Arabidopsis thaliana: one gene and its partners. The main gene of each other region encodes a partner of the protein of the gene in region 2 in a complex. Each region holds a gene or a part of one and is shown on either strand. Other genes may lie near its edges. A codon is read from its position in the direction of its gene.

Region 1 (7,056 bases), on a different chromosome or scaffold from region 2:
AAAAAAATAAAAAAAATGAATTACAATAGACTTGATCACTTGATAGAATTTTAGGTTATCTAATCAATAGTTTAATTCTATATTGACTATTTATTTATTTATATAGGCTCAAAAAATTAAGGGCCAAAGCAATTCAATCTGCAAAAAAGACACGTAAAGTTGTCACTTACCATACAATACAACAAAAGCGAAAATAAAAAAAGTTATTCACCAAACAAAAACTTACGTCGACGTGTAAGACAACCTCCCACCCGATTTTCTCATTTCCTTACATAACCCAACAAAAAATACATATTATCAACACCGAATCTCTCAACACAAACAAAATCACACATCTCTCTTCATCTTTTTGTTTCCTGCAAGAATCTGAATCTGCTTTACTATTGTGTCATCATGATGAACATCGACGATACGACGTCTCCAATGGCCCACCCGATCGGTCCATCTCAGCCTCCTTCCGACCAAACCAAACAAGATCCGCCAAGTTTGCCCCAAGAAGCAGCTTCTTCTGTTTCGGCCGACAAGAAAGATCTAGCTTTGCTTGAAGAGAAACCGAAGCAGAGTCAAGAAGAAGATAGAGTGGACACTGGGAGAGAGAGGTTAAAGAAGCATCGGAGAGAGATCGCTGGTAGGGTTTGGATACCGGAGATATGGGGACAAGAAGAGCTTCTTAAGGATTGGATCGATTGTTCAACGTTTGACACGTGTCTAGTCCCTGCCGGAATCTCGTCTGCACGTACTGCTCTCGTAGAGGAAGCTAGGCGAGCTGCTTCAGCTTCTGGTGGGTTACATAATCGTTGCTTGATCTTACGTTGAATTTAATATAATAAGATAACATACTTATAAATGTGGTTCTTGTTCCTCAATAATATAAGGCACTATTGTTACATTGTTGATAATATTCTAACTCATTTTACTCGTAACTTTATGAAACATTGCAAATTGAGTGTGTTTAGTTGCCTTTAGTTGTTCTGTTAGTGTAGAACGGATTTTGTGATTTTGTTTTTTAATACTTTTGATTCGATCCGTCCATATCATCTATACTCTACAACTATCAGAATATCTAATATTCCAGGGAAAAGATAGATATCTAGAAAAAGTTTTAAGGAAAATTTTTAAAAGTTTAGAAAGATATCAAAACTAAAATTAAAAAGAAAAAATTCGAATAGAAATTATAATCAGTACTAGAAATTTTATTGCATTTTTCAGATATAAGGAAAGTAAGATTTGAGTAATGTATATAAGTATAAATATACATATTTGTAGTTCATAAATCTGAAGGGAAGCGAATATCCTCATTCTCAAAGTTCAATATTTGCAATGTGTCCGCTCTAAATTTTAGAATATGGTTCGCTCTTTTGGATTCTTTTGTTAAAAACCTCAAGATTTTGAATCAGCAGTTTTTCTTTCTTCAGAATATCAAATTGTGAATGTGACATTTGCCCGTTTTCCTAATGCTCCTTTTGCATGTGCCCAAACATGCCCAATCATGTTCTTAGCTTCTTATAAGTCCAATTCAACATTTATCCCTTTTATTTGGCATCTCTCTCTGTGCCATGAGTTAGACATGTAACTATGTAACAACGCGATTAAAGAGATCAGAGCGGACTTATTGAAAAGAAATCTTGATTAGTTATTTACTTAGGAATCTAGAAACGACGACCTTGGTTAGTTATTACTTTCAGTTCACACACATATTTGAGTTCTTATGTGAAAAATTGCTTATGGGTACCAAAATACCTAAGTCAAAGTATTTTAAAATACTTGCTCGTGAAATATGATTTTAGATATGTAAATTACTCAAATACCCAAAAGATGTTTGCCCGTTAAAAAACCCCACTATACATAACATTGTTATTAATAATAGATGAATGTCCATTATAAAGTCCATCTTTTAGAAGTGTTTATACTCCAAATTTTACTTTGTCACCAAGTAAAACCCTTTCTTTGAACTCATATTTAAAAAACCCTTATTCATCAGAATAAAACATGAAATCTTCTATCTCTTTTCTCCTTTCTCTAGATTTAAAAGATTTTCCTAATACAATCAGAAAAAAAAAATCAAACTCAAAGCAAAGAGAAATCGAAAGCTATGAATTCATTTGACATTACCTCCATGAAAATCCCCCAAGAATGAGTACGTGAGTGTGGAAGATCCACAAATACTTTGGAATGATTTAAAGTAAAGGTATGATCATAGAAAACTGTGATATTACCTAAAGCTCGCTATGATTAGATTCATAAGAGATTACAAGACTTCAAGTCTATAACTGAATAGAGCTCATCACTTTCAAATTGGAATTATGTGGATCCATGATTTTCTAACTTATTTGCATATGATTTTCTCTCCACATAATTTCAATATGAAAATAATTTAAACAAGACTGAGTTATACTCGCTTACATACTTGAATTCTCATATGAATCCAATCATATATAACGAGCTTTAAACAAAATCACTGTTTTCTGATGATCATATCTTTCCTTCATATCAAACCAAAGAATTTGTAGATTTGTTAAAGAAAAATCATACCTTTAATTTTTCTTTGCTAGAATTTGATTTCCTTCTTTGTATCAAGAAAATCCTTTGAATATAGATAAAAGAGATTTGATGTCTTATTTCAATGAACAGGGATATATACTCATTCTCGAATAACATCTTATAATATTTCTTAGCAAAAAAAATAAAAAAATCTTATAATAGGAATATATACTTCTCCAAAATATACAAACATTCAAAAAAATATTCAAATACCCAATCAAAACTACTTATTCGAATAAATTATTTTGGGCCTGAATTTCTTTGGGGATTTGGGACAAACCAAAACTCAGATTGTTCTGCTAATGTTAGGGGTGTCAAAATGGGCTTAACATTTAGGGCCGTACTGGGTCCGTTAAAATAAATGGGCTACGAGGCCGAACTATTGAGGCCCAAATGGCCTTTCTAGATACGAACTAGTCAAAAGAGAATCATTTCTGATTAGTTGCGAAAAATCTCATCGTCTCTCTTCTTCGCTCTCGCCATTGTCGTAGATCGCTTTCTCTAACCCTAAAATACGTAGAGAGATCAGATACCTGAAAACAACCAATCAATCATGGAGTACGCTGCTCGGAGAAATCAGAAAGGCGCTTTCGAAGGCTTTTACAAACTTATCATGCGCCGTAATTCCGTCTACGTCACTTTCATCATCGCCGGCGCATTTTTCGGTGAACGGGTAAGAGATCAGAGCCTTTTTGGTTGTGTTATAGCTTATTAGGGTTCGTATTGTACCGGATCTGGTTTTTGTGTGTATGGTTTGATTGGAACGAAATTGGGGATTTTGGTGTTGTCAAATGATAATCTTAGTGAAGAAATTTCGTTGGAGAGGTTAATCAATCTACAATAGAGAGCTGGAGATTATAGTTTTTGTGAGAAGAATCTGGTGATAAGTTGTTTTTTTTGGGGTCTTATATGTGAAGAGGTTTACATGAACAGACAATGGAGTTTTCATGAAATGTTAAAATCTGTGGTTGCAGGCTGTGGATTACGGTGTTCATAAGCTCTGGGAACGCAACAATGTTGGGGTATGTTTATTTTCTTGTATTCTGAATCATGTTTTATGCAATCTGATGCCTAAATATGTTGACGATGAATGATTTTTTTGTTACTCTTTTGATTCGAAGTTCTGCATTTTGTTTCGGAAATGTTTAGTATTGGTGATGTTAATGTTTGTCTGTCATTTGAACTAGAGAGTCTAGATGGTAATAACTGTTTCTTCATTCTCTTTATTGCCCATCTTGAGATATGGAATGATCACATTTTTCTACACACACTTCTTTGGTTTCATGTCATCGTCGTAATCATCTTCTGTAATCTCTGCTTGTTGTTAGTGTTATTAGCTAATAGGTGAATGCTTTTCGAAAATCTATTGATGCCTGATTCACCTTTTCTAGCTTCTATTGGAATGTGTATAGTTCCCCCTCTACCTTCGACATCCTGATTTTTCTGCCTTGTGTGAGTATCTGTGAAAGTCTGAAAGAGAATGGTTATATTCGTATTCACAATGATTTTCTTGTCATGGCGCAGAAACGATATGAAGACATCTCTGTGTTGGGTCAAAGGCCAGTAGAGGAATGAGCTTTCTTCTTTTTGAATTCTCTTCAGACCAAAAGCAAGAATTGGAAATTTCCATGTTGTTTTGCATTCCAACGTCTCTCTTTCTTTGTTGAATAAATATAAAATCATTGGGATGATTCATATTTCACCTAAAGCTATCTGGTTCTGATTACTTGAATTTTTGCATTGTGGAATATGATAACATTATCATAAATCGTCATTTGGCATTACAAGTATTTGTCCCTTATTAAAAGCAAGTCCATTAAAACGCCCATTTGTGAATCGTCCTTTTCTTCACTTTTGGGTTCTTGAAGCGTCGCTTTAATATGCAGTGCCCATATTCTGAGGTCTAATTTCATCCATCTTCGAGAAATAGTAATCATGGAGATTTCCATTTGTTTGCCAAGGGTCAAATTTGGAAGGATTTTTCAATCAGTTTACTCAAATGTTGGATCCCAAAAAAGAAAGAAGATTAATGATTATACGAATTCTTTGAAGAATAACCAGAGAAGTCACTGTCGATAGAGCATCATCGTTCTTGAATTTACAGAATTAAGTGGGAATTAAACCGACAAAACCACATTGGTTCGATTTCGTGCACATAGCTGAAAGACTTCCACTAAGCTGTGGGGCAAAAGTTCAAGATTAGATTTTGACGATCTCTTTTATCATAAATCACATAACTTGCACCACTACTTTCGAAAGGCCATGCATGTAGAGACGATCAACATCGTGCAAACCAATCAATACATATCTTTCAAATGGAATTATCCATCCATAGATTCGCATAATGCATTTTGTTTGTTGCGACAAGAGATTTAGAAATCGTAGTAGGAAGCGCAAATGTGATGTTCGCGGAGTCGGAATATGGACAAATGAATATTCCGAAAACATTTTGTCTTGAGACGTTATGTTATGTTCTGCGCCCCTACCTGATCATCACATCACATGTTTCACTTTTTCTTTTACGTTTTCTGAGAATTGCCTCTCTTTTTTTTTTTTTTTTCATTTCTCTAAATGAAATGCTCTTTTAAATAAACAGTTTATATATTAAGAATAGTGAAAGATTTCTCTCGATAAGAAGTGGGAAGCTAGAAAGAAAAATGGGAGACGGGTTTTTATGGGGCAGGCACCATCTGTGGATTATACGAAAAGGTAACACACACCAAAAAGATAACACAATTATTTGTTTCGTTAAAGTTTTGAAATTGACAATATTGTATAATGTTTTAACAAAAAAGTGTTTAGTATATAGGTCTTTACAAAAGAAATTAAAAGAAACACATTCGAAAACTTTCATCTATTATCTTTGGATCGGATCCATGAAATAGAAACCTAAAGGAATCAACGTTATAGCTAGGACCGTTTTAACTGCATGTAAAGAGACATACAGAGGTTCCTATGTTTCCACATCTTTGATGGAAGTTTTCCAATAAAAGCACACAAAATGTGGTCTCTAGTCTATACCTTAATTTAGCTTATATTCTTTCCTCCAAAAATGATATTGACCAACGACTTGAACTCCTTGACTTATGTAATTTTTGGTCAACACTATTACTACAAATTGACCCACGTACATACTAAAAGAAATACACAACATAATTACAATATTTTAATGTTGACAAGATAAAAAGAACTTTATGTTAATAATACGATGTTAGAAAACGTATTAAACTAATAACATAGACCTATGATGATCTCCCACCCCTAAGTTTGTTTATTTAGGGAATATCGTACCACAGAAAATCACTTGGAATTGGATAACACTAGTTTTTAGGTTTTTCTTTAACTTTTGTTTTCCTTTATTTATTTTTTATTTTAAGAAAAAAAAAATGAAGAAGAGAGGGCTATATATAGCAGAGCCATTCCCGCCGTGTCAGTCATGCAGTAATCTGATAAAACCCTCCACAGGTTTAATTTAGAAAAAACTCATTAATTAGTTTCCAGATTTGGAAAATATATCTTCTTCATCTTTTTTTCTTAATGCAAACCCTTTTTCTCCCTTTTTTTTTAGCAGAGATTTCCAACAAAACAGGAACTAAAACACAAGATGAAGATTATGATGATGATTAAGCTCTGCTTCTTCTCCATGTCCCTCATCTGCATTGCACCTGCAGATGCTCGTAATGCTTACACTCTTTGTTTCTCTCTCCCTCCATTTCTATATTCATAGTATGCATTCACATGTTTATAGTTTTATTTAGAGAAAACACAATAAATTAATCAGAAAGTTCAAAGTTTGATACATAGGATGGGATTTAATTAAGTTTAAAACGATCAAGTAAATGATGGTAATCGTGCTATTATATGAGAGTTTTTGGTATGGGTCTAACCGTCTAAAACGATATGTGTTGTGCTTAGTGAATATAACTTTATAAGTTTTAACCGTATTCAAATTGGTAATAAATGAGCAGAGACAGAAGGAGTAGTGTTTGGATATAAAGGCAAAAATGGACCAAACCAATGGGGACACTTAAACCCTCACTTCACCACATGCGCGGTCGGTAAATTGCAATCTCCAATTGATATTCAAAGGAGGCAAATATTTTACAACCACAAATTGAATTCAATACACCGTGAATACTACTTCACAAACGCAACACTAGTGAACCACGTCTGTAATGTTGCCATGTTCTTCGGGGAGGGAGCAGGAGATGTGATAATAGAAAACAAGAACTATACCTTACTGCAAATGCATTGGCACACTCCTTCTGAACATCACCTCCATGGAGTCCAGTAAGCCCCCGGCCCAATTATATTATTATTATTATTATTATTATTAATTTATTGACTGATTTATTTATAATAAATTATTATTGTTATAAAATAAAATAAAATTCCAGACATTCTTTGTTTGATTATCTACCAAATTAGCTAGGTTGGAGCTCAAATAATCGAGTTTTGGATTTTATGCCAATTTGTTACTCCACATTTTAAAAACCCCCAATATTATTTTTTATG
Region 2 (8,504 bases):
AGAAATCATACAAGGTGCACGAAAAGGTTTTAACCAAAGTGACAGAGGCCACAATTTGTTCATTCAGTTTGCTAGTTTGACTGATCATTTCATTAAACTATGCTTCCATGGAGGACAACCAAGATCCAAGGTTATCAATATAGCAACTGAATTCAGTGCCTTGAAAAGAATGATGCCGCTGGATATCATCATGCCAATTCAACAATCTCTTACCATTAGCCTACCAGCATTCCATATGAATAACAATGAACGACACTCTGCCAGTGTCTTTTCTGGTTCAGATCTACCAACTATTTCTGGTATAGCCGATGAAGCCGAGATACTTTCTTCCCTTCAGCGCCCAAAGAAGGTATGCTTTTCCATTTTTCATGGATTGAAAGCTGTCAACCTAATTTCATATGATTTTCTGCTCTGCTCTCTGCTTATATCTCCTTTTATATGTCTCCCAATATGCATTATACCATGGCATAAGATCAGTTTATCTTCAAGAACCAGTCCTGCAATATGCATGTCCAATAGATTATATTTTTTATATTCAGATCATTCTGCTGGGAAATGATGGTATTGAGTATCCATTCCTCTGCAAGCCCAAGGATGATCTCAGGAAAGATGCTCGGATGATGGAATTTACTGCGATGATAAACCGCTTACTATCCAAGTATCCCGAAAGCAGACGAAGGAAGCTATATATCCGCACCTTCGCAGTAGCTCCTCTGACTGAGGACTGTGGTCTGGTCGAGTGGGTTCCACATACACGTGGACTCCGCCATATTCTACAAGATATATACATTTCCTGTGGGAAGTTTGATCGGCAGAAAACAAATCCTCAAATTAAAAGAATATATGATCAATGTGCTGTTAAAAAGGAGTATGAGATGCTGAAGACCAAAATCCTCCCTATGTTCCCTCCGGTTTTCCATAAATGGTTCTTGACAACGTTTTCTGAACCAGCTGCTTGGTTTAGGTCACGTGTAGCTTATGCTCACACCACAGCAGTTTGGTCCATGGTTGGGCACATTGTTGGGCTTGGTGACCGTCATGGAGAAAATATTCTCTTTGATTCTACTTCGGGTGATTGTGTTCATGTAGACTTCAGTTGCTTATTTGACAAAGGCTTACAACTGGAGAAGCCTGAGTTGGTGCCATTCAGATTGACCCAGGCAAGAAACTGCAAAATCGTTTGTTTGTGTTCTGTTGGTATTTTGTTTTCGTTTGTCATAATAGTGAATTGTTATTTTCCAAACCACAGAACATGATTGATGGTTTGGGCATCACTGGATATGAGGGCATCTTCATGAGGGTATGTGAAATCACTCTCACAGTGTTGAGGACACATAGGGAGACGTTGATGAGCATCCTGGAGACATTCATCCATGATCCTCTTGTGGAGTGGACAAAGTCACACAAATCAAGCGGAGTAGAAGTTCAGAACCCACATGCTCAGGTTTGCATAATCATTTAATGATTCTCTTTCATGTCAGTTCATTTACCCTTTCTTTTTTTTCTAATTGCTTGAGACAACCACATGATTTGGCAATTACAGCGGGCCATAAGCAGCATTGAAGCCCGGCTGCAGGGCGTGGTTGTTGGTGTTCCGCTACCGGTAGAAGGTCAGGCTCGCCGGTTGATTGCCGATGCAGTCTCACTTGAGAATCTTGGGAAGATGTACATCTGGTGGATGCCCTGGTTCTGATGAAAATCTCTGAACACCAGCTGTTGTTAAGTTCACACTACACCAGTTTTCATAATGCCATTTATGTTAATACAGTAAGTTGACATGCAGATAACACTATCCTATGAAAACATGGGTGGCTACAAATCTTTTTGACATGCAGATGTTACTTGTATCATAGGCTCCTTGTGCACAAACTTCCTGTAGAAGTTGAAGCTAAAACAGTACATAAGCCAGGTCTCGCACTGTTTCATGATTCTTTGTGGAGAACGGTCAGTAACAATAGTGTTAACTGGAGCGGTCTTGGCTGCAAAAGTTTTGAATGCTTGAAAGGTCTTAACTGAGCCGGGATTTTGTTGGTTGCTTTGATCTAGCTCTGGTCATGAGAAAGATAGGTTTGTTAAGGTTAAAGTGAAGACTGATTTCCTGATAGATGATGTTTGGGTTTAGGCGATGGGAAAATCCGAATCGGATTCGATATTAGCAGCGGATCAGGCACGTTTGCTGCTAGAATGGCTGAAAAGAATCTGAATATTATCGGTATTACATTAAATATAGATGCTCCTTTCAGCGAATTCATAGCTACAAGAGGGATTTTTCCGTTGTTCAGAGGGAGTTTGGATTAGAGATTCCCGTTCTATGACAATGTTTTTGATCTCATTCATGCTTCTAACGGATTGGATTTAGCGGTTAGTAGTAAACCCGAGAAGCTAGAGTTCTTGATGTTTGATCTTGATCGGATCTTGAAACCCGGTGGATTGTTCTAGTTAGACAATTTCTATTGCGGTAATGATGAGAAGAAGAGAGTTCTTACGCGTTTGATAGAGAGGTTTGGGTATAAGAAGTTGAAATGGGTTGTTGGAGAGAAAACTGATGCTGAGGTTTTTCTCTCGGCTGTTCTGCAGAAGCCTGCCAGGATTTGATTGGTTTTTTTCTTCTTTTTAATCAAGATTTTGATCTTTTCATAGGTTATAAAAATTTGAGCTCATTACATTTTTATAAATATTGATTCCAAGGGACAATTAAAAGTGTGGACTTGTATTTTGAGGTTTTGTCCGATCCTGCATGTTTGTTTCATTGTCTGTAGGATTGTGCAATTTTGTTTGGTAATGTCTTAACGGAACTGGTTTTACATTAACGGGTCTAAATCCTGCCTACATTTTTCTAAGTTTTACAAAATCGAGTTCGCAACAGAGGTAAATTGGTTGTTCTGTGGAGTTTTGGTCTATCAGAAATAGACCACAGATTTTAACTTTTTAACTTTAATAGTTACAAAATCATGTTTTGTGATATACAAATAGGAGAGAGATTGTAAAACCACATTTTTATTAAGACAAACCGAGTCCGGTTTAGGAGACAACAAACCAAAAAGAAATAATATAATCTCAAAATCATGTGTGACTTGAGGTTAAAAAAGCTTTACTTCTTTGCCTCATTAGACTTTCTAAACAATAAACAAAGAAACATGTCTTTTGAGACAAAAAGTGGGATTCACCATTTATCCCTTTCAAGATTAATGATTATTACCCAGAGAAAAGGTGATCTTCACGGGATTAGTTAACAACGTCGAGAACAAGCTTACGGGATTTGAGTACTGACCATTTCAGTCTCCTGTAATACGCAGCTTGAAGCAGAGCCAAAGACAGTAAGAATATCCATTTGAACCCCATCTGCACACACATACAACCAACGTTAACAGATATCTAAGCACAAAGAGTTGGATTCTCGGTATAGCGGGTTTTTTTGGGTCGGTTTAGAACCAACATGACGGTTTTGAATACAGAGTAACAATACGGTTCATGTTTGATAATAGTTTTGGTCTGAGATTAGCAGCCTCAAGAAACAAGCAGTAGTGTGGTCAACACAACTATGCAACTAGGTGTGTTCAACACAACTATGCAACTAGGTGTGTTCATCCCGCTATACAGAAGACAGAACCAAGGAAATCTTAACACGGATAAAATGGCGATACTTTTTCTACATCCAAAACCAATCTATACTATGCCGGTTTAAGTTTGGTAACAATTTTCTCAAACTGAATCTGAAAATCAAATAATCAGAATCCAGATTGATATTCCTATTGCAATCTCGTACATATGGAAACGACAGCTTAAAACATGGAATATATGAAACTAAGAAACTTACCAATTTCCTCTCTTCCATCTCTGGTTCAGCTGCCCAGGACAAGAAGGATACAACATCTTTACCCATCTGCATCATGTTTTTTAAAAAAAGAAAAATTAAAGATTATATAATTGACTCAGAGGAAAGGTCAAATCTGATAAAACTTTATGGTCTGCAAATTATTTTCTTAAGCAGAGGAAAACTAACCTGTGCTTCTGTTGCAGGAGTTCCATCTTCATATTCCACAGCTTCATCGTTGAGCATTTTTGGCATAGCGATTGCTCCACCAGGGAAATAAGGATTGTAGTGTAGCCCCTCTCTGATCTGTACCCGTTAGTCACAGGATTATTTCTAACTTCCAACAATTTGAAGTTGTAATAACAAGTCTAAAGCAAAAATAGGAGAGAAATTTACCGAAATTCCAGCAGGAGGATCACGATAACCAGTCAACAGAGCAAAGACATAATTTTGGCCATTGTGACGTGCCTGGAAGAAAATAGCCAAATTGCTTAGATCATAGTAGATGAATTTTCTAATTGTATACAAATGGAGAGAAAGAGCACCAAACCTTAGTTACAAGACTTAGATCCGGTGGATACGCTCCTCCATTGGCGAACCTAGCAGCCGATTCATTTGAGTATGGTTCAGGAAGCCGATCACTGAGTTTACCAGGTCGGGTGAACATCTCACCCTCATCATTTGGTCCATCAACAACCTCGATTTCAGCTGCCATGGCCTTCGCCTCTTCCTCTGTGTAGGCAACACCCACCAAGTCTCGGTATGAGATCAGAGACATCGAATGGCAAGACGCACAAACTTGCTGATAAACTTGGTGACCACGACGGATCCTGCTCATTACAAATCAACCGTCAGTAAAGCAGTCTCAAATTTCTCTAATTTTCAACTTTAGTGTTGCAATTTCACTATGATGATTGAATTGTAGCTTGAACACTCACGAAGCATGGTCATATGAGCTGAGAATGCCCTCATGTGGCCAAGGGTAGTTAGGACACTCCAGACCATGTTCAGCCTCATCAGCAGATGCAACAGTAGAAAAACTCAATAATCCGGTAATACCAGCACCCATGAGAGCAAATGCTCTTAAACCAGCAGACCCAGCATCTTCATTCGCTTTCTTCGAAGACAACCATGACAATACCGGAGTTGCCTATGGTGGTAGATAATACAGAACAACAGTAAGAAAACAAAAAAAAAGGCCAAGACACAAGAAGGTGTATGCTCAACAAATCAAAAGACTACTTTTTCTGAAAAGAAATCGAATATTAATCATACTCTCGAAGCACAAATCAATAAGTCTAAGTTTCTTATATCCCAAAATCTCCAACGCCACAACAATTCCAGTTACAATTCTTCAAGGACAATCTCTCAGAGCAATGAAGGTGTAGACAGAACCAAAACAAATCATATGATTCTATCTTCAAACAGATCCTAAGCTACAGCAGAAAATCAAAAAGATGTAACAGGGAAAAAGCTCACGACTGATTGGGAATGAAGTTTCCTTCTAAGAAGCTGCCGGATAACTCCTCCTCCAACCATTGGATGAACACTTGTACCAATCGATCTCACTGATACAAACAGAGAAGATTCTCAGCCATTACATATACCCGAAACAATGAGTAAGCCCTAGAAAACTCGATTCTCTATATAGATCCGAAGTTCCAACAAATAAACAAAATTGAATGAAGAAATGGCAGATTCGGATATGAGATGTGTCGAATCGAGAAAATACTCACAGGAAAATGAAGCAACGAGATCGGCGATTGACGAACAGAGGAGGAGGAAGAAGAAGAAGAAGAAGAAGAAGAAGTAAACAGCTACCAGAGAAAATGGATGTCTCCGGATGACGCGACTGGACTGTCACACACAACACAACAACACCTTTCAGATTTTTCAAGTATCATGGGCCTAATTTAATCCATTAAAAGCCCATTAAGGGCCTATCCGTACAGTCAACAGCCAAAAAAAATATCTGGAATATTTCTCATTGGAATAAATGGACCAAATCTTGAAATTTAGTAAAGGGAGACTTTGTGTAAATGATCTATGTGTTGTTGTTTTTTTCAATAGTGAAGAGTTCATTAGTCCAGAATGTTCAATTACAAAAAGATTAACACAGGCTGAGATCGAGATCACATTCTGGCTTGTTTAGTAAATATGTCGATCGATAAATTATTATGGCTTGCATTAACTCATTTTATAGGGTCCAAAGCGAGGCTGCTTTGAATCTAACATGCATTATTGTAGTTCAATATCGAGAGGCGCAAATTTGAAAATACAACATATGTTTCGTATGCTCTCGGGATACTACATCGACTCCAAAATTATAATCTTCCTTAAACTTGAAAATGTGTTTCAATTTTACATAGTACGGGAAAATGTAAATGAGAAATTACATGTTCGCTTTTGCTAGGTAAGTTCATATATTAATTCCCACAGGTTTGTGAATGTTCATGGTATGTTTAATATCTGTTACTCATCTTGAATATCTTTGCTGAATAGAATCTCTTATACCTAAAAACAGAATTTTAATTAAGCAGGAGAAATTCTCATCATGACTCAACTCAAGCCGAATCATTAGGTTTTTGCAATCATAAGTTGTGGTTCGGAAAACGAATTTGGAATCATCAGAAAATTAATGAATGAGACATCGTCCTGGAAGCTTTTCTACATATTTTCAAGCCACGAAACAGTAACTTTCTTAATATGTTGATTGGTGAGTCCTTTAGTGTCTCAAGTGGAAGTAGTTTTTCATTTATGAGAGATGATTTAATATGAGTCGGTTTGAATGCTATGCATTTCCTTTCGTGTCTTAGAGAAATGCCTCTATTATGTTTTGGCTTTGGGGAATACCTCCTTTAATTATGTTTTAAACTTTGTGATCTTTGAATCACTCCTTCTTGTACTTGTTTTTATGTGAATGAATGAAAACAAGCCTTTGTAAAAAAAAAAACATATTCTTCTCTTAACTTTATCTACAAGGACCATTCAGCTTTATCAAAATTAAAAGCTATGCTATTATCTTGTCTAAGAGCTAGATAGCGATCTGCTTTTATTGGTGGTATGAAGGAAAAGTATAATTATATGATTAAGTATGTCATTATAGTAATTTTTCTACCTAAATGAATGTTAATTAATTTAGTTTATTTTGGGATGAGGCACCTCCCCAGCAGGTATCTTAATAACATATCAAATAAGGGTTTCGATTTGAGACATGTTTCCACATTGTATCACGAATTGTTCATCAGTGCCTAATTAAGAAAATATACAGTTTAAAATTTGTGATTTTAAAATAATAGTAATTTTCTTATAATTAAAAAATATTTATGTATCATGACCAACGCCTATTTGCTTGTAATGTCGGGTTACTTTCACTCCTTTATCAAAATTGTATCAAATTTTTGTATTTGCGTATAATAATTGTATTATAATGTTTATATATTTTGTAACCTTGTTTTATATCAATATATCTGATTTGACAAACAAAAAAAAGAAATTAAACAACCTAACATTATTTCTTTCAGAATTTAGTGTGTGTTTATAGGATTTTAAATCTAATTTTATATGAGGTATTAGATAGTGGTAATGTATTATGTTAAGAAACGAACTTAAATAATAATAAAATAATAAATATGATTTTTATTGGGTTTTATGACAAGTGAAAAGAATCCACTCTAGCGTATTTCAGTATGTTTTTACCGATAGAATTTATCCCAAAAAAAAATGACAAGGTGAAAGAATACTTATGCTTTTGTGTGATGTATTATGTAAAGGTAATGAAAGATACGTATGATAGGTTTATTCCGTGAAATGTTTTTCATAGATATCAAATGCAAATGATAGGTTTATTCCGTGAAATGTTCTAACCGAACCTAAATGATTAACACACCCAAAACCACACCAAGATGACTTTAGCTATAGAATGAGAGCACATCCCTAGAACCGGAGCTACATAAGTACATAGATCCGACCATAGGACAATGAGAAGACCTTATGGGTCATTGCTTTACACTTCCATAAATAGAGACACAATATATACACATGTATATATTTCCAAATGTGCCCTGACATGCCAGTTTTTTCAATTTTGAAATGGAGGACACTTCATGCAATTTGGTTGGTTGGGAGGACAAAGAAGGACCATACAAGAGTCTTGAAATGTGGTAAAAAACACCAGATGCTGTTTTAGCCTGATCATGGGACCCATACACCTAATTTTATCATATACTTATAAATCTCATATTAATAAAGAGCAATAAGCCAATCAGATCACACATCGCAGTTCCCAGAATTATTTGGGTGCTTTGGATAACCATCCAATTAAATTATCATATAGACCTATGTGGAGAGAGATATATGTTATAAAGTCACATTGCCTATAGTATAATTTAATGTTTGTGTGTGCCTGCTTTTTAATCGGCTTCGACCATACATATTTGTTTATTTCCTTTATATGGAGAGCTTAGTTGATATATCTCGAATCTCAATGCTCGTTTAAAGGATTCGAGCCCGAGATATTTCAGAAGATTTCAGTCATATTTTATACAAATACTTGCTGCTAAGTAGTCTACCATGCCATTTATAGCTGGAAAATATCATGCAAAACCGAACCATCTCCTTTCCGTACAGTTTCTATATTGCATAAATTGAAAAAGAACTAAAAAAAATTTGATTAGAGCCACAACTGAAT
Region 3 (6,516 bases), on a different chromosome or scaffold from region 2:
AAGCTCTTCATTGACTCTTCCTACGTAAGTAAACATGATTTTTCCACGTTTTGTAACTGATTGCTAGACTTTTTGATACAATATCACAGAAGACTAAGGCTTTTCATTTTTTGATTAATTAGGTATTGCATAGATCACCAGGTTTGGTAAGGGAACAAGACTTTTTTTTGAAGTTTTTTTGTATACATGTAGAGATCACTAGCGTTTTCCATTTTTCTAGGTACCAAGACTTCCTTCCACGACAAGAAGATGAGACACCTCCCGCCGATTTTGCTGAGGTACCACCCTACTGCCCTCATTATCTTCAAAACGCTCGAAATGTTTACTTATTTTCTGGGGCTGAATCTTGCTAGCTACTTTTTCCTTGTTTCCTGCTAACACACTTGTTCCTGTATAATGCACAGGAAGTTCTCTTTGTTGCCAATCTCTCCCCCCAAACTAAGATATTAGATATGTAAGTAGCACTCCCACTTTTCTTCTCTGAGCAAAGAAAAAGTAACTCTCCCATCACTCATATTTTACCCTCCACTTTTGCAGCTTCGGTTTCTGTCAAGATGTTGGAGAAGTTGTTAGTGTTCGACTTATTGCAAACCATGAGGACAAGCCTGTGGGCTGTGCCTTTGTTGAGTTTCTTTCTGCCAACGAAGCAAAGAAGGTGAGACTGGTTTTGTAGTCATGATGGACGATTTTAGTATTTTACTAGTCATTTTGAAAATTAGTGTATACAAACTTATGATGAAAAACATACTACTAGTTTTTTGAAAGCTGGATAGCTGATTAAATCTTTTTAATACTGTAGGTGCTGGAAAACAAGAATGGTGAATATTTTCATGGTCATAAGATCATTTTGATGAGAGGACATGGTGAAACTCCCGATTTCGCTGAGGTACCTCTTCTTGTTGTCTTCACAATATGTCAGGCTCAGCAGAAACCTTTAATAATAATAACAGAAATCTTGTGTTTTTTTTTTGTGCAACCTTAAGTCCTTTTCTTCTTTGCGTCGTGCTAACTCACTTGGCTGTTAAACGCAGGCTGTTGCCACAAGTAAAAAAAAGACGCTCTTTGTTGCCCATCTTACTCCCCAGACTATAATATCAGATATGTAAGTAGCACCTTAAGATTTCCTCTTTCGTTATTGGAGCAAGTTTCTCATGACTAATATTTTATCCTCCACTTTTTTACAGCATCGACTAATTGTTAACCACACTGGCAAGCATGTGGGCAAGGGATTTGTTGAGTTTGCTTCTGCTAAGGAAGCAGAGAATGTGAGAGTTGTTTTTCTAGTAATTGATGAAAAGTAATGTATACAAGTCGCAGTCATTTGATTAGTTAAACCGTTTATTTATACTCTAGGCGCTGGAAAAGAAGAAGGGTGAATATTTGCAGGATGGCGAGATTTTTCTTAAGGCGGCTAACATAGCTCCATTCCCTCCACCCAAGTAAATTAATTTTCCATGTTATGGAGATTTGTTGCTGTCAACTTATTGCCACCACAGAAGACTAACACTAATATTATATTTCTTAACTAGGTGGTGCGTAGATCACAAGGTTTGGTAAGGAATTTTCAACTATTTGCATCTTGAGGGTTTGTTATCAAGAGCACATTGGGTGAAGTTTTTGGTATACATGTAGAGATCACAAGGGTTGTTTAATGTTCCAGGTACGAAGACTACCTTGGACAAGAAAGAGATGAGGCAGCAGTGGAAGGACTTGCTGAAACTCCCTATTTTGTTGAGGTACGCGTGTTGTTATCATCTTCAAAATATGTCAGGCTCAGAGGGGAAATGCTCAAGTGTTTGATAACAAAACTGTTACCTCCTTAGAGCCATGCTAACACACTTGGCTGCTAAATACAGGAAGCAAGAAAAAAGACGCTTTTTGTTACCAATCTCCCTCCTAGAACTAGTATACAAAGGATGTAAGTAGCACCTTTAGTTTACTCTTTCGTTCTTGGAGCAAGTTTTTCATGACTGATGTTTTATCCTCTTCATGTTTACAGGTTGTATTTCTTCCAAGACTTTGAAGTTGTTCGTGTTCGACTTATTGTTGACCAATCGGGTAAGCATATGGGCTGTGGCTATTTTGAGTTTGCTTCTGCTAATGAAGCAGAGAAGGTGAGTAGTTTTTATAGCAATGATGAAAACTAGTGTATACTTACTTATATGATGAAATTGTTTTGATGAAATATTTTTATACTGTAGGCGCTGGAACAGAGGAATGGTAAAAGTTTGCGCTATCACAAAATCTTTCTTGAGCTGGCTGAGATAGCTCCATACCCTCTCCAACACATGTACATTGATTTTCCATGTTATTGCTCTAGTTTTGATGTCATAACAGAAGATTAACGTTATCATTTTTTGTTAATTAGGTACAAGCTTGCAGAGAAGCTTTGGTAAGGGATTTTTTAACTACTATTTTGCCTTTAAGAGATTTTTTGTTATCAAAGGCAAATTCGGTGAAGTTTTTCGTATAAATGGGGAGAGATCACAAGGGTTTTTGATACAATGCAGGTACGAAGACAACCTTCTACGAGAATCGAATCTGAAGCAACAGAAGGCAAAATCCAACGGATTCTGCGGTAAGAAGATTACCTTCTCTTACGGGGACGACTGCTAGAAGATGAAGAAGCTCTCTTTTTACGGGGATTAGTGTAGACACTGAAATTATTATCCATAGTAAACTGAAAATTCAAAAAGGGAGTACGGCTTACAGGTCGGTCTGATTTCGGTTTACCAAACCGGTTCACAGTTTCACACAGAATATCAACATTACTGGTTCATACACCTTTTACAGGATCATTCAACACAAGTACACAAAACATAGGCAAGAAGCTCTCCATTTATCATCATCCCCTCCACTGATCCTTCTTGTTCCGAACTTCCCTCATTGTATCAATTGGCGACTTGCAACCGAGTTTCTCCTGGAAAATAACAAAGTTAATCTCGATATACGACAAGAAAGTAAAGATCGATATCAACAGTGATAGCTGATAAAACCGAATCATGAATTGTTCAAGAAGATGAACCAAATGGAGTAATAACCTGTATCTCTGGCTTATCAACACGCATAAATGGATTTGTTTCGAGCTCTTCCTCCAGTGTTGAAGGGATTGTGGGAAGATCTGCTTGGCGCTGTTGACGGGCCCATGCTAACTTCTGTTGTATCTTCCCGTTGTTTGGTTCCACAGTTAGAGCAAATTCCAAGTTCTTAACGGTGTACTGAGAACCATAAGAAATGAATAGCGGATTATTCAGTTTATAGGCATCCATTTTTATGAGTTAAGAACTCAAAAGACATAATGAAGCTGTTGATTTTTTTACCTCATGGCCGCAGTAAACCTGTGTCGGTTTAGGTAATGCAGCCAGAGTCACACACAACGACTGATACATCTGCTCAGCTGTCCCTTCAAAAAACTTCCCACATCCAGCAACAAACTGTATAAAATCAAAGTAAACACAGCTTAATGTTTAACTCATAACTATCTCCATTTAGACATTTACAGAGATAAAAGATCTACGGAGAACATATAGGGTCCATGGTAGGGAAGAACAAGAGGATTCAGCTTAATGTTACCACTTACAAGTGTATCTCCGGTGAACACGGCTGGGTTTTCTCCTTCTTTTCCGTTCACATAATAACTAATGTGACCCTTGGTGTGACTGTAACAAGTAGATATATCAGAGGAATCAGCGATGACAAGAGAAAATGACTGAGTTAAACATCAAGTAGATTAGATGCATCTAAATTCATTGGAAAAAAAAAAAAAAAAAAAAACAAACCAAGGAGTGTGGAGAGCCAATATGTTAATATCCTGACCCAAAGTCAGCTTGTCACCATTATCAACCGCATCAGTGCAACCCTTCACCTTATCCAGAGAACCTCCATATACTTTGATATCAGGAACCAACTGCTTAATCTTCTCGTTTCCACCGGCATGATCCCTTTGATCATATCAAGCCACCAATCAAACAATGAGTGTTAAAATAAAAACGTCGCCTCAAATCCAAATTTCATCGAAGACAAAGGCAACCATCATATGGTACATATATAATAAATCTTGCATCTTCAAGAGGTGAAACATTAATGCAGAAAGTATCAGACTTTAACAAAGAATCAGACTCACGAAGATGAATCTCTAAGTCAGTTGAAACTGATAGTAGGAAAAAGCTAAACACTTGATCAGAAAACTGAGAGATTTAACAATAGACTTGTACTAATGTTAATGTCTAGGACCGGAATCTAGCATATGTCGATATCACTGAGTAATAAGAACCAACAGAGAATCTCGGAGATGAATCAAATAAGATAAGTTACCAGTGACATAGAGAGAAGTGAGGTTTACTTACCAGTGATGATGCGTAGTGAGTACGAACTTGATCTTAGCTTGGTGCTTCTCAGCCGATGCGATCACCTTCTCCGGATCAACTGGATCCACAACCGCCGCGTCTCCGGTGCTCTCATCGATTATCCTGTTTTTTTTTTACGAAGAAAGAATCCTAAACTGATGATGAACCGAGTCAGATTAAGAAGCAACGAAATTGAAGTAGGATATCAAAATGGCTCACAGATAAGAGTAGTTGTCTTGCAGACAAGGAACGTGGAAGATCTTCATCGTCTCCTTAGATCGATCGTCCTTCTCCTCCGGAACACTAGCTGTATCATCATCATCATTTATGTCTGGACTAGTGATTTATCTATTTCGGTTTACTCAAACCGGATCGAACCGAAACAAATCAGGATAAATTTTGCAGCCGGTCATCCGGTTCAATTGTAATTGTAACTGAACCGGAATCGGATAAAAAACATAAGCTTCGTTGAGAATTGTTTATTTTAGGTTTTGGGGGAGATTCGTTCTCGTACTGTGGATTGTTGTTGTTGGGATTATCTGGGAAGAGAAAAAGAAAATGGGGAAGCAGCCGGTGAAATTGAAGGCGGTGGTTTACGCACTTTCTCCGTTTCAGCAGAAGATCATGACCGGTCTCTGGAAGGATCTGCCGGAGAAGATCCACCACAAGGTCTCTGAGAATTGGATCAGCGCCACTCTTCTCGTTACCCCTGTCGTTGGAACCTACTGGTACTCTATCTCTCTTTCTATCTCTCTCATCAATCGATTGGTAAAGGAACCTTTGGATCGAGTTCCGATCTGGTTGATTGTTCTTCGATCTGTGTCATCGGTCTTGTGCGGCGCATATGGATATAGGGTTCTTCGTTTGTGTCATAGGAACAAATGAGAAATGATAGGATTTAAGTTAGTTTGAGATGAGTATTAAGTGGAGTGTAGTATATAGAGACTCTCAGCTAGAAAAAGTCTTCCAGGTATCAAATTAGTATTGTTGATGAACCACTCTGTGGAATTGCATTTCAAGATGTTGAGGATTTAAATGGCTTAGTCGTAATCATTAGCTGATTAGTGTGGTTCTATTAAAACTGTTGAGTTCTTGCTTGTGAAGCTATTAGTTACCTGATCGATCTAAACATTACGGGTGCTGCATATTATGGTCTAGTTTCTAGTCATCTTTTGTGCTTATTCTTTCAAATACACACAATGAATGCAGGTATGCTCAGTATTTCAAGGAACAGGAGAAGCTTGAGCACAGATTCTGAAGCATGAAGTCACTCCTTTTCTACAAGAACCTGACAGTTTGAAGTAATTTCTTTTGTTTCAAGCCTATAAATTTCACAAAAACTCTTGTGGGAATCTTCTGAGTCAGTTTTTCTGAAACTCTTTTGCTAAATAAATGTTTGGGTTTCATGACAATGACTCTTGTTGTTCATCTTTCTTGATATATGGTATGAAAATTGGATTGAATCGAGTAATATATTGATCCCTCAAAACAACTATTAGGCAAAATCAAACGCTGCCTATGTTCCCTTAAGACATCAACTACAAACAACTATTAGGCAAAATCAAACACTGCAAGTCTGCAACCACTCCTACAAGGTTTGTGATGAACAGAGTCGTTGGTTGGACTAGAAATGTTGTCCATTTCATCAAGTACAGTTCAGCGGAGTCATTCTCTTCGTCTAAGGCTTTTGAGGTAACTGTGAAGTTGGTGTCGATACCGGCTAGGACTTTAAGTAGACCTTGGAAGACTGCAAATTAGTGATTTATATAAAACTACACGATTTGCCGAAATTTATTTCACTTTTGTGACGCAAGATAAAATTAAGCAAAACATAATTTATTTCAAAACGATTAATATAAAATACCAAAATGTCACAAAAATCAAAAATAAATAAACACTCCCTCGACAATACTGATCACTTAACCGGTTTTAAAACCAACAAAAGGCAATCCTTTAGTTCTTTAAATAGTTTTAGATAGAACCGACGGAAACGGCAGCTTTGATGAGTAAACCAAAGAGAACAAAAGGGTTAGAGAAGAAAGGAGAATGGTCGCTCTCCAATTCGTAAACTTGGCTAGGTGGCCACCGTCTTATCATCGCGTCTTGCTGCTCCGGTTTCATGACCCGGTCGAGTAACGTCTTGATGTACACGCGCGGCACTTGCTCCTCT
Region 4 (6,974 bases), on a different chromosome or scaffold from region 2:
TGTGACGATTTCAAGCACATAGAAGAGTCTATATCATCACTTCACTTGTTAGGCCTCTCTTTAATTTCATATTATATGACACTTTTTTCATTCAATGAAAAGAATAAAATAAAATTAATTGTTTGATACTCCTAATTAGGGATGTTATTCTCTGCTTCTCCTTTGTACTTTTGGGAATATCTGTCAAATCAATTACTTAAATGAGAATATTAATAAATTTGGCATTTGATGTGCTTTATTTGGCTGCAATTAAACAACAATCATATGAGTTATTGAGTATCATTCCAACCCCATAAATGTTAGCCTTTTTAAATGGAGTATATATTACTACCGTTTTTTTGTTCGTAACGCATATTACAACCGCTTTAATCAGAGAAATTATTTAAAGACGAATCTGGTGAAACATGAATTAATTTTGTCAAATAGAATATGTGAATAGTATTTCTGTTTATGTTAAATTAGGCAATAACATTACATATATACTTAATCCTTTATCTGAAAACACTAGATTTATGATAAATACGAAAGGTAACACTGGTTAGCGTATGGAACCATCAAATTTTGACTAAATGTTTTCTAACACTATGAGTGACCAAAACATTTCCTTTTACAAATTAAAATTTGTATTAGTCATCCTGCATACATTTCTTTTTCCCCAAACATTTTCAATTTTGGAATTTTTTTATATATATGTAAATTACATTTGAACAGGTCTAATTTGAATGGTTAATACGCGGTTCAAATAAAGTTGGCAAGTAATTAACAAACGAATCCACATCAAATTTCAATTACTGTATGTACCAAAACCACATTTATACCAAACCGCATCATAAAATAAAATAAAAATTCTTAAGGCCTGTTTTGTAGATTTTGTAAGAGTTTTTGGTTTTTGTTTTTTAAAAACTTATTTTCATACCAATCAAGATTTTAAAATTTTGGTTTCCCTACAATTTAGTAAAACTATTTTATTGTAATTTTCCATTCATGATTTTAGTTTTTTAGTTTTTGTAAAATTTAGGAAATCTAGTTTTTGTTCAATCAACGTTATTTTTCTCAAAAACCAAAAACCATTTTTTGGAGATTTTTTGAACAAAAAATATAATAACAAAAATCTAAAACTAAAATCTAAAATTCAGAAACTAAAATCTAAACTCAAAAACTAAATTAAAAATCAGGGCCTAAATTTTGACATAATATGGATAGATGATGATAGTGAGACCAAACCACATAATATTGCATATTTTGATGTCACCATTTGATAGCCTATAAAAAGGAGAAGAAGCAAAGGGTAGTTCTGGAAAAAAAGGGAATCGTGGGGGAAAGAAAGCAGAGTCGTTTTCAGATCGTGAATAGAAGCAGCAGCAGAAGCCGTATCTATCCCTCTCTCTCTCTCTCTCTCTCTCTCTCTCTCTCTCTCTCTACTTTGACCGTTCCTCTTCTTTTTATTCATCAACATCATCGAGCTTTCTACTACTTGGATTCCTACTTCTTCTTCTTCTTCCTCTGATTCTCTCCCATTCCAATCAATCTCTAGGGTTCTTCTTCAGGTATCTCAAATCTCCTCTCTTTTCTTTTTATTGCTAACCATTTTCATTTACTTTGGCTTATTTTTAAGTTTAATCTTCTTCTGATATTGCGTCTGCTTTTTTACCTCTGCAAAGACAGAACCTTTCTCTGTCTCTCTCTGCTTGTACCTTGTACCTTTTCTCTCTGTATACACTCCATTGTCTGCCTTTTCTCGTCTCTCTTCTCTTACAGTTTTTATTCATTAATTTCTCTCGAGGATGCTCCTCAGGCCCCTCTTTATCTCATCTCCCAGCTAAAGTTTCTCTTTTTGTTTTTAATCAGCAATACTTCAGAAGCTGGTTTTGGCCATGGAACCCAATGGGTACAGGAAAGAAAGAAGAAAGGAACAACATTTGGGGAGAATGAATGGTGGTGGTGGTGATGTTGAGACTGATCTTGATCCATGGACTGCATGGGCTTACAAGCCTCGCACTATCTCTCTTCTCCTTATTGGCGCTTGTTTTCTCATGTGAGTCATCATTTCTTCCTGCTTCTTCCCTTTTACCTCTCTGCCCATTTCTCGTAATCCTCAATTTGGTTTTGAATTTTACTTAGTTGGGCTAGTGGAGCTCTTGATCCTGACAGCACTACATCTGATGATCTTGTCACTTCTGTCAAAAGGTTCTCTTTTTCCTTCTGCCCACATCATGTTTTTTTTTCTTTTTTCATTTGATTCCATCAATTAACACTAGTCTACTATGTTTATGTTCCTTTTCTAGGGGAGTGTGGGCTATGATCGCTGTCTTTCTTGCTTACTCTTTGCTCCAGGCCCCTTCAACGTTTGTTTACCATCTCAGCTGTTTTATTAATTTGCTTTCTCTTTTATAATGTAGATTGTGGTTGTTGGTGATACTTGTGATGTGTCTTTAATCAAGTAATTTGCTTTATGCAGGGTTCTAATCAGGCCCCATCCTGCAATCTGGCGCTTAGTTCATGGAATGGCCGTCATTTACTTAGTTGCACTTACTTTTTTGCTCTTTCAGGTTCACTTTTTTTTCCTCCCTAGATCCTTCTTACTTGCCTATGCCTGTGATTTATATATGGATTCTTGTTTTAAGTGAGCAAACTCTAATAGTTACATTATTCATGCTCCCAGAGACGTGATGATGCACGGCAGTTCATGAAGTTTCTCCACCCTGACCTTGGAATAGGTAAGAGTTTCGGAGAGGAATGCTGTTTATTCGAGGAGCTACCACATCAATGATTGACCATCTTATTGAGTTTGCTCATGTTGCAGAACTTCCTGAGAAATCATACGGTGCTGATTGCCGTATATATGTGCCTGATCACCCAACAAACAGGTTTAAGAATCTTTATGTAGGGTATCTTCTCAACAACTCCCCTTTACCTTAACCAACCTTCATATCACCTAAAGGCTTATGCTTTGATTAAAATTTATCAGGACACAGTATTTGATGAGTTTTTCTTGGCTCACATCTTTGGTTGGTGGGGGAAAGCAATTCTGATCCGGAACCAGCCGCTTCTTTGGGTGCTTTCAATTGGTTTTGAGTTATTGGAGGTTGGTCTTTGTCTTCGTTTTCTTATATTACAGGTTCCAATTTGATATATACAAAAATATCGCTTCGCCTGTGTCACCGAAAAGTTATATTTATGTTCTCCAGGTTACTTTTCGGCATATGTTACCAAATTTCAACGAGTGCTGGTGGGACAGTATTGTTCTTGATATCTTGATATGCAACTGGTTTGGTATGATTCTTAAGCTACCTTGCTATTCTATATGTAGTGCTTTTAAACATGTTATGGATAACAGCTTTTCTTGTTTTAATCATGGTAGGTATCTGGGCAGGAATGTATACAGTTCGATATTTTGATGGAAAAACATATGAGTGGGTTGGCATTAGCCGCCAGCCTAACATTATTGGCAAAGTAGGTTTGTTCAACCTTGAGAGTGCATACACATGGTCCTAGCCGTTGTACATCCAATGAGAATTTTGTATATTTTTTCAGGTGAAAAGGACACTGGGGCAGTTCACACCAGCTCACTGGGACAAAGACGAGTGGCATCCGCTGCAGGGACCTTGGCGTTTTATTCAAGTACTCACTCTTTGCATCATATTCTTGACAGTGGAGCTGAACACATTCTTTCTCAAGTTTAGCCTGTGGATCCCCCCTCGAAACCCAGTGATTCTCTATAGGCTGATCTTGTGGTGGCTCATAGCGATACCAACAACACGGGAGTACAATTCATATCTTCAAGACAGGTAAAGCTATAGCCACTGCGATATTGGTTGGAGTTAGTTTGGAAAGAGTTTTGTATATAACTTGTGTAGTTTTGGTTGTTCACAGAAAACCTGTGAAAAAGGTGGGAGCATTCTGTTGGCTGTCACTGGGGATATGCATAGTAGAACTTCTCATCTGCATCAAGTTTGGAAGTGGTAGGTGGTTCCTTACACATGCTCTGCCTTAGTTATTTATGGTTACAGTTACATAGTGTGGAGAGTGTAAACTTGGTTGTATGGTTATGATACGAACAGGATTGTACCCAACAGAAATGCCATTGTGGGTAGTGACACTATGGGGAAGTGTGGGACTTGGACTTGTGGCCTTCTTGCTGTCTTGGACATGGAAGATCCAGAAGATCCTCGCGCAAAAGAGACGTTAAGCGCATCATTATTGTTGCAGCAGAGACGAGAGAGAAATAGAGGTGAGACAGTGAAATGCCATTGTGGTTTTTTTTTGTAAATAGGGAGAAGAAGGAACGATGTAAATGCAATTTTCTTTAGGGATAGTGTGTGATATTCAACATTTACGAAGATTCCATCAATTCTTTCATGCATCAAAAGTTCTTTCATCTTTGTTCTGCCCCCTCAATCTGACAAAACATGTTGGTTTGAATGTCAATTTTTTGTTACCATTCACACATTCAAGTTTTCAACAGTTCAAAAAAAGAAGAAGAAGTTATTGAGCCATTGTTTCTTCTGGTTTTTGAGATGATTGTTTTGTGCTGCCAACTCTTACATGACATTAACAACATTATTGTGCTTTTACTGCCATTAACTCCATTACCACCATTCAATTTTTCTGTCTTTAATTATTGGTTCCAGTTTTGTTATTCTGGTCTATTATTTTGTATTATCATCATTCTATCAAACAGATTATTTGTTTTGTTGAAGGAAATGAAAAAAAGAAGAAGAAAGAATCAAATATGATAAATTGAGGATAATATTAAGATTGTGTGACCTGCCGTGCCGCCCAACAACATGTCACATGGTATCTTAGGTTTGCAAATTCGTAATTTGACATCTTCGACGACAATTTTGACTATCTATCTAATCTTAACATCACTCTTCCATCATCACTTCCTATTTTATTCCAACTTTCTTAAAGAAGCCAAAAAAAGGATGATGTCAGAAGTTAAGGAATATTCTGACAAGGATAGGATGCCCTTAAGGGAATCTAGAGTCTTGAATGGGCTTTTAGAATTCCAAGAAGCTAGGGAATCTCGAGTCTTTAATGGGCTTTTAAAGTTTCAAGAATCAAAGGCCCAAATTGCATATTTGTAGCCCGTCGGAAACGCAATGAAAATGATGAATCTGAAGACTGACTCAAACAACATCTCTGTAGGGTTCTTCTTCCTTGCTTCTTCGAGTCTCGATCTCCTCTCTCAATCTCAGGTAACGCCAAAATCCTCTTTTTATTCATGGGATCTTTTATACCAAATTCGATTTCTTCATTTTGAGATCTGTGAATATCATCGTCCCACGAACCAATCGAATCTGTTGTTGTCTGACATTAATTTTCATTTCTATCTCTTGCAGTCTTCAGCTTCCAATTGACTTTCAACATGTAAGCTTATTCCTTAAACTCGATACCTTCTTACCAATCTCCAATCTCCAATCATGTTGTGTAGATGGATCTCTAACATATGTAGACCCTTTAGTATTCGTGTCTGAATCTCTAGACTGGAATCATTTTTTTTTTTTATTGTGGCTCTATAGTTGTGTAGGGGTCGGTCTATGATTAGATCCGATTCTATTCATTTTTCTGGCTTATGTTTTCGCATCATATAATCAGAGCTTTATCTTGTAAGGAAGAGTGATAAAACTAGATAATTATGTTCTTTCTAGTTTTGCTCGTAAAGACGATTCTTGTATGTCATCATTCACACGGGAGTAGTTTATATATCTAGCCATTGATGTTGCATCCTCGATGCCTGTGGTTTTTCTGAATATTTCAGGGCAGATGATGAAGTTGTTGATCCAAAGAAGTACCTTGAGGAATCTTGCAAACCAAAATGTGTGAAGCCACTTCTCGAATATCAGGTGAAACTGGTTGATGTTGTGACTAATTATGAATTGTGTTATAAGTTTTGACACAGTGCCATGTTTTGTGAAGATCATTGTTTGACTGATACAAGGCTTGTTTGTGGTTCTCAGGCATGTGTCAAGAGAATCCAAGGTGATGATTCTGGCCACAAGCATTGCACTGGCCAGTATTTTGACTACTGGCAATGCATTGACAAATGTGTAAGTTACTTGAATTATGTTATTTTGCTGTTTCATCATATGATATCTTCTAAAGTTTGATACTGAGATGAAATTGGATTTTGGATCTTCAGGTTGCACCAAAGCTGTTTGCGAAACTAAAATGAAAAGAGGTGAAGCTGGAGACTCTATTGTCTTGAGTTTGCTACATGTGGTTTAAAATTGATGTATAAAATGCAGTGGATGTTGAACTTTTTTTTACTGCAAACCAGATTGCCAAATGGCTCTGCTTCTTGGTTTTGTTTCCATCGCAAGTTTGCGCTTACTACATTTTTTTGCTACTTGAGTAATTGCATGGCCTAATAACAAGATATGTTGTGCCTTTCTTTGGTCCAATTGTCGTAGACAATGCGTCAAACAAATCATTAGGCTTGAAGTTTCAATAAAGAGAGATTTTCAAGCCTCTGCTATTAGGTGGCCTGGTACTATGGCCATTGATTAGGATTTCTTAGAGCTTGCCAAAGTTTATGATCGGACTAACTCTGAAGCTTATTGGTCTTAAAAAGATAACTATCTAATGATGGCGGCTACAAGAAGATATTTTCTTTTAAAAAATTTTGAAGGTGAAAGAAGGTTGAATAGTCTTATGGTGAAATCACATGTGACTGGAATGAAGTGAAGAACTGTTTAGTGGAGTGTGTGATGCATGCAGCAGCCACTTTTGAAGGACAGCTTGGACTTTAGAGTGAGAGTGAGATGTATGGCCCGCGGCGGCTGCATTAGACTGAATCTTATCCTTGACACTCTACAGCAATTATGTAGATTCTCCCATTTGACCCTCTATTTAAGGGTTAGCAAGTGTAATACCAGTCCATACAATACCATTACATAGCCATGAACGGTGGAGACGGTGCTTCTAGCTATGCTCGCAACTCTTCCTATCAGGTTTTAATAATATACATC

The links.
Region 1: the proteins of AT5G40810 (region 2) and AT3G52730 are in contact, whole or in part, in a cryo-EM structure (PDB 8BEL), measured with the Arabidopsis thaliana proteins. Residues at the interface, in NP_198897.1 of Arabidopsis thaliana: Pro79 (codon at 4,790), Leu84 (codon at 4,775), Ser85 (codon at 4,772), Ser86 (codon at 4,769), Tyr87 (codon at 4,766), Asp88 (codon at 4,763), His89 (codon at 4,760), Ala90 (codon at 4,757), Arg93 (codon at 4,640), Gly119 (codon at 4,562), Val120 (codon at 4,559), Ala121 (codon at 4,556), Tyr122 (codon at 4,553), Thr123 (codon at 4,550), Glu126 (codon at 4,541), Ala129 (codon at 4,532), Met130 (codon at 4,529), Glu133 (codon at 4,520), Glu238 (codon at 4,033), Asp239 (codon at 4,030), Glu265 (codon at 3,832), Lys268 (codon at 3,823), Leu269 (codon at 3,820), Phe272 (codon at 3,336), Lys273 (codon at 3,333), Trp274 (codon at 3,330), Phe276 (codon at 3,324), Leu277 (codon at 3,321); in NP_190841.1 of Arabidopsis thaliana: Glu39, Val42, Asp43, Val46, Leu49, Trp50, Asn53, Asn54, Lys57, Arg58, Tyr59, Ile62, Ser63, Val64, Leu65, Gly66, Gln67, Arg68.
Region 3: the proteins of AT5G40810 (region 2) and AT3G10860 are in contact, whole or in part, in a cryo-EM structure (PDB 8BEL), measured with the Arabidopsis thaliana proteins. Residues at the interface, in NP_198897.1 of Arabidopsis thaliana: Asp65 (codon at 4,832), Glu66 (codon at 4,829), Leu283 (codon at 3,303), Ala286 (codon at 3,294), Tyr287 (codon at 3,291), Arg290 (codon at 3,282), Leu291 (codon at 3,279), Ser294 (codon at 3,270), Val295 (codon at 3,267), Ser298 (codon at 3,258), Arg299 (codon at 3,255), Lys300 (codon at 3,252), Leu301 (codon at 3,249), Val302 (codon at 3,246), Leu303 (codon at 3,243), Asp304 (codon at 3,240); in NP_001327236.1 of Arabidopsis thaliana: Lys9 (codon at 4,929), Ala10 (codon at 4,932), Val11 (codon at 4,935), Val12 (codon at 4,938), Tyr13 (codon at 4,941), Ala14 (codon at 4,944), Leu15 (codon at 4,947), Pro17 (codon at 4,953), Phe18 (codon at 4,956), Gln20 (codon at 4,962), Ile22 (codon at 4,968), Met23 (codon at 4,971), Gly25 (codon at 4,977), Leu26 (codon at 4,980), Lys67 (codon at 5,584), Arg71 (codon at 5,596).
Region 4: the proteins of AT5G40810 (region 2) and AT1G15120 are in contact, whole or in part, in a cryo-EM structure (PDB 8BEL), measured with the Arabidopsis thaliana proteins. Residues at the interface, in NP_198897.1 of Arabidopsis thaliana: Glu66 (codon at 4,829), Ala67 (codon at 4,826), Gly70 (codon at 4,817), Leu71 (codon at 4,814), Glu72 (codon at 4,811), Pro74 (codon at 4,805), Asn75 (codon at 4,802), Tyr76 (codon at 4,799), Pro77 (codon at 4,796), Trp78 (codon at 4,793), Arg94 (codon at 4,637), Phe194 (codon at 4,255), Thr198 (codon at 4,243), Arg201 (codon at 4,234), Asp202 (codon at 4,231), Pro203 (codon at 4,228), Pro204 (codon at 4,225), Ala205 (codon at 4,222), Gly206 (codon at 4,219), Ile207 (codon at 4,216), Tyr215 (codon at 4,102), Pro217 (codon at 4,096), Tyr218 (codon at 4,093), Asp232 (codon at 4,051), Glu233 (codon at 4,048), Thr241 (codon at 4,024), Pro242 (codon at 4,021), Thr244 (codon at 4,015), Glu245 (codon at 4,012), Ala246 (codon at 4,009); in NP_172964.1 of Arabidopsis thaliana: Val6, Val7, Asp8, Pro9, Lys10, Lys11, Glu14, Tyr28, Val32, Ile35, Lys43, His44, Cys45, Thr46, Gly47, Tyr49, Phe50, Trp53, Gln54, Asp57, Ala61, Leu64, Phe65, Leu68, Lys69.

The regions. Positions count from the first base shown.
Region 1 is NC_003074.8:19,540,206-19,547,261, reverse strand, and holds AT3G52730 (ubiquinol-cytochrome C reductase UQCRX/QCR9-like family protein), read left to right. Parts: upstream 1-2,951; 5' UTR 2,952-3,094; coding exon 3,095-3,214; intron 3,215-3,515; coding exon 3,516-3,635; 3' UTR 3,636-3,993; intron 3,994-4,065; coding exon of another isoform or gene 4,066-4,116; 3' UTR 4,117-4,443; downstream 4,444-7,056. Other genes in the region: AT3G52740 (uncharacterized protein), read left to right, coding at 394-816; ACA1 (alpha carbonic anhydrase 1), read left to right, coding at 6,146-6,218, 6,510-6,831. UniProt on the Arabidopsis thaliana protein: Component of the ubiquinol-cytochrome c oxidoreductase, a multisubunit transmembrane complex that is part of the mitochondrial electron transport chain which drives oxidative phosphorylation.
Region 2 is NC_003076.8:16,337,049-16,345,552, reverse strand, and holds AT5G40810 (Cytochrome C1 family), read right to left. Parts: upstream 5,691-8,504; 5' UTR 5,551-5,690; intron 5,383-5,550; 5' UTR 5,354-5,382; coding exon 5,294-5,353; exon of another isoform or gene 4,965-5,293; coding exon 4,753-4,964; intron 4,645-4,752; coding exon 4,365-4,644; intron 4,283-4,364; coding exon 4,211-4,282; intron 4,121-4,210; coding exon 4,004-4,120; intron 3,884-4,003; coding exon 3,818-3,883; intron 3,343-3,817; coding exon 3,226-3,342; 3' UTR 2,626-3,225; downstream 1-2,625. Other genes in the region: ATR (Ataxia telangiectasia-mutated and RAD3-like protein), read left to right, coding at 1-349, 540-1,160, 1,250-1,444, 1,544-1,693. UniProt on the Arabidopsis thaliana protein: Component of the ubiquinol-cytochrome c oxidoreductase, a multisubunit transmembrane complex that is part of the mitochondrial electron transport chain which drives oxidative phosphorylation.
Region 3 is NC_003074.8:3,394,911-3,401,426, forward strand, and holds AT3G10860 (Cytochrome b-c1 complex, subunit 8 protein), read left to right. Parts: upstream 1-4,664; 5' UTR 4,665-4,904; coding exon 4,905-5,074; intron 5,075-5,555; coding exon 5,556-5,604; 3' UTR 5,605-5,845; intron 5,846-5,901; 3' UTR 5,902-6,016; downstream 6,017-6,516. Other genes in the region: AT3G10845 (RNA-binding (RRM/RBD/RNP motifs) family protein), read left to right, coding at 1-24, 221-278, 405-454, 538-655, 800-886, 1,185-1,265, 1,354-1,439, 1,661-1,736 and 5 more; GLY2 (Metallo-hydrolase/oxidoreductase superfamily protein), read right to left, coding at 2,846-2,920, 3,042-3,218, 3,321-3,434, 3,581-3,659, 3,780-3,941, 4,347-4,469, 4,566-4,612; MES17 (methyl esterase 17), read right to left, coding at 6,318-6,516. UniProt on the Arabidopsis thaliana protein: Component of the ubiquinol-cytochrome c oxidoreductase, a multisubunit transmembrane complex that is part of the mitochondrial electron transport chain which drives oxidative phosphorylation.
Region 4 is NC_003070.9:5,197,720-5,204,693, forward strand, and holds AT1G15120 (Ubiquinol-cytochrome C reductase hinge protein), read left to right. Parts: upstream 1-4,928; coding exon 4,929-5,053; exon of another isoform or gene 5,054-5,151; coding exon 5,152-5,201; intron 5,202-5,345; coding exon 5,346-5,373; intron 5,374-5,764; coding exon 5,765-5,849; intron 5,850-5,963; coding exon 5,964-6,053; intron 6,054-6,108; coding exon 6,109-6,231; 3' UTR 6,232-6,474; downstream 6,475-6,974. Other genes in the region: PSS1 (phosphatidyl serine synthase family protein), read left to right, coding at 1,875-2,035, 2,122-2,187, 2,286-2,345, 2,459-2,549, 2,663-2,717, 2,804-2,883, 2,969-3,085, 3,189-3,273 and 4 more; AT1G15125 (S-adenosyl-L-methionine-dependent methyltransferases superfamily protein), read left to right, coding at 6,906-6,956. UniProt on the Arabidopsis thaliana protein: Component of the ubiquinol-cytochrome c oxidoreductase, a multisubunit transmembrane complex that is part of the mitochondrial electron transport chain which drives oxidative phosphorylation.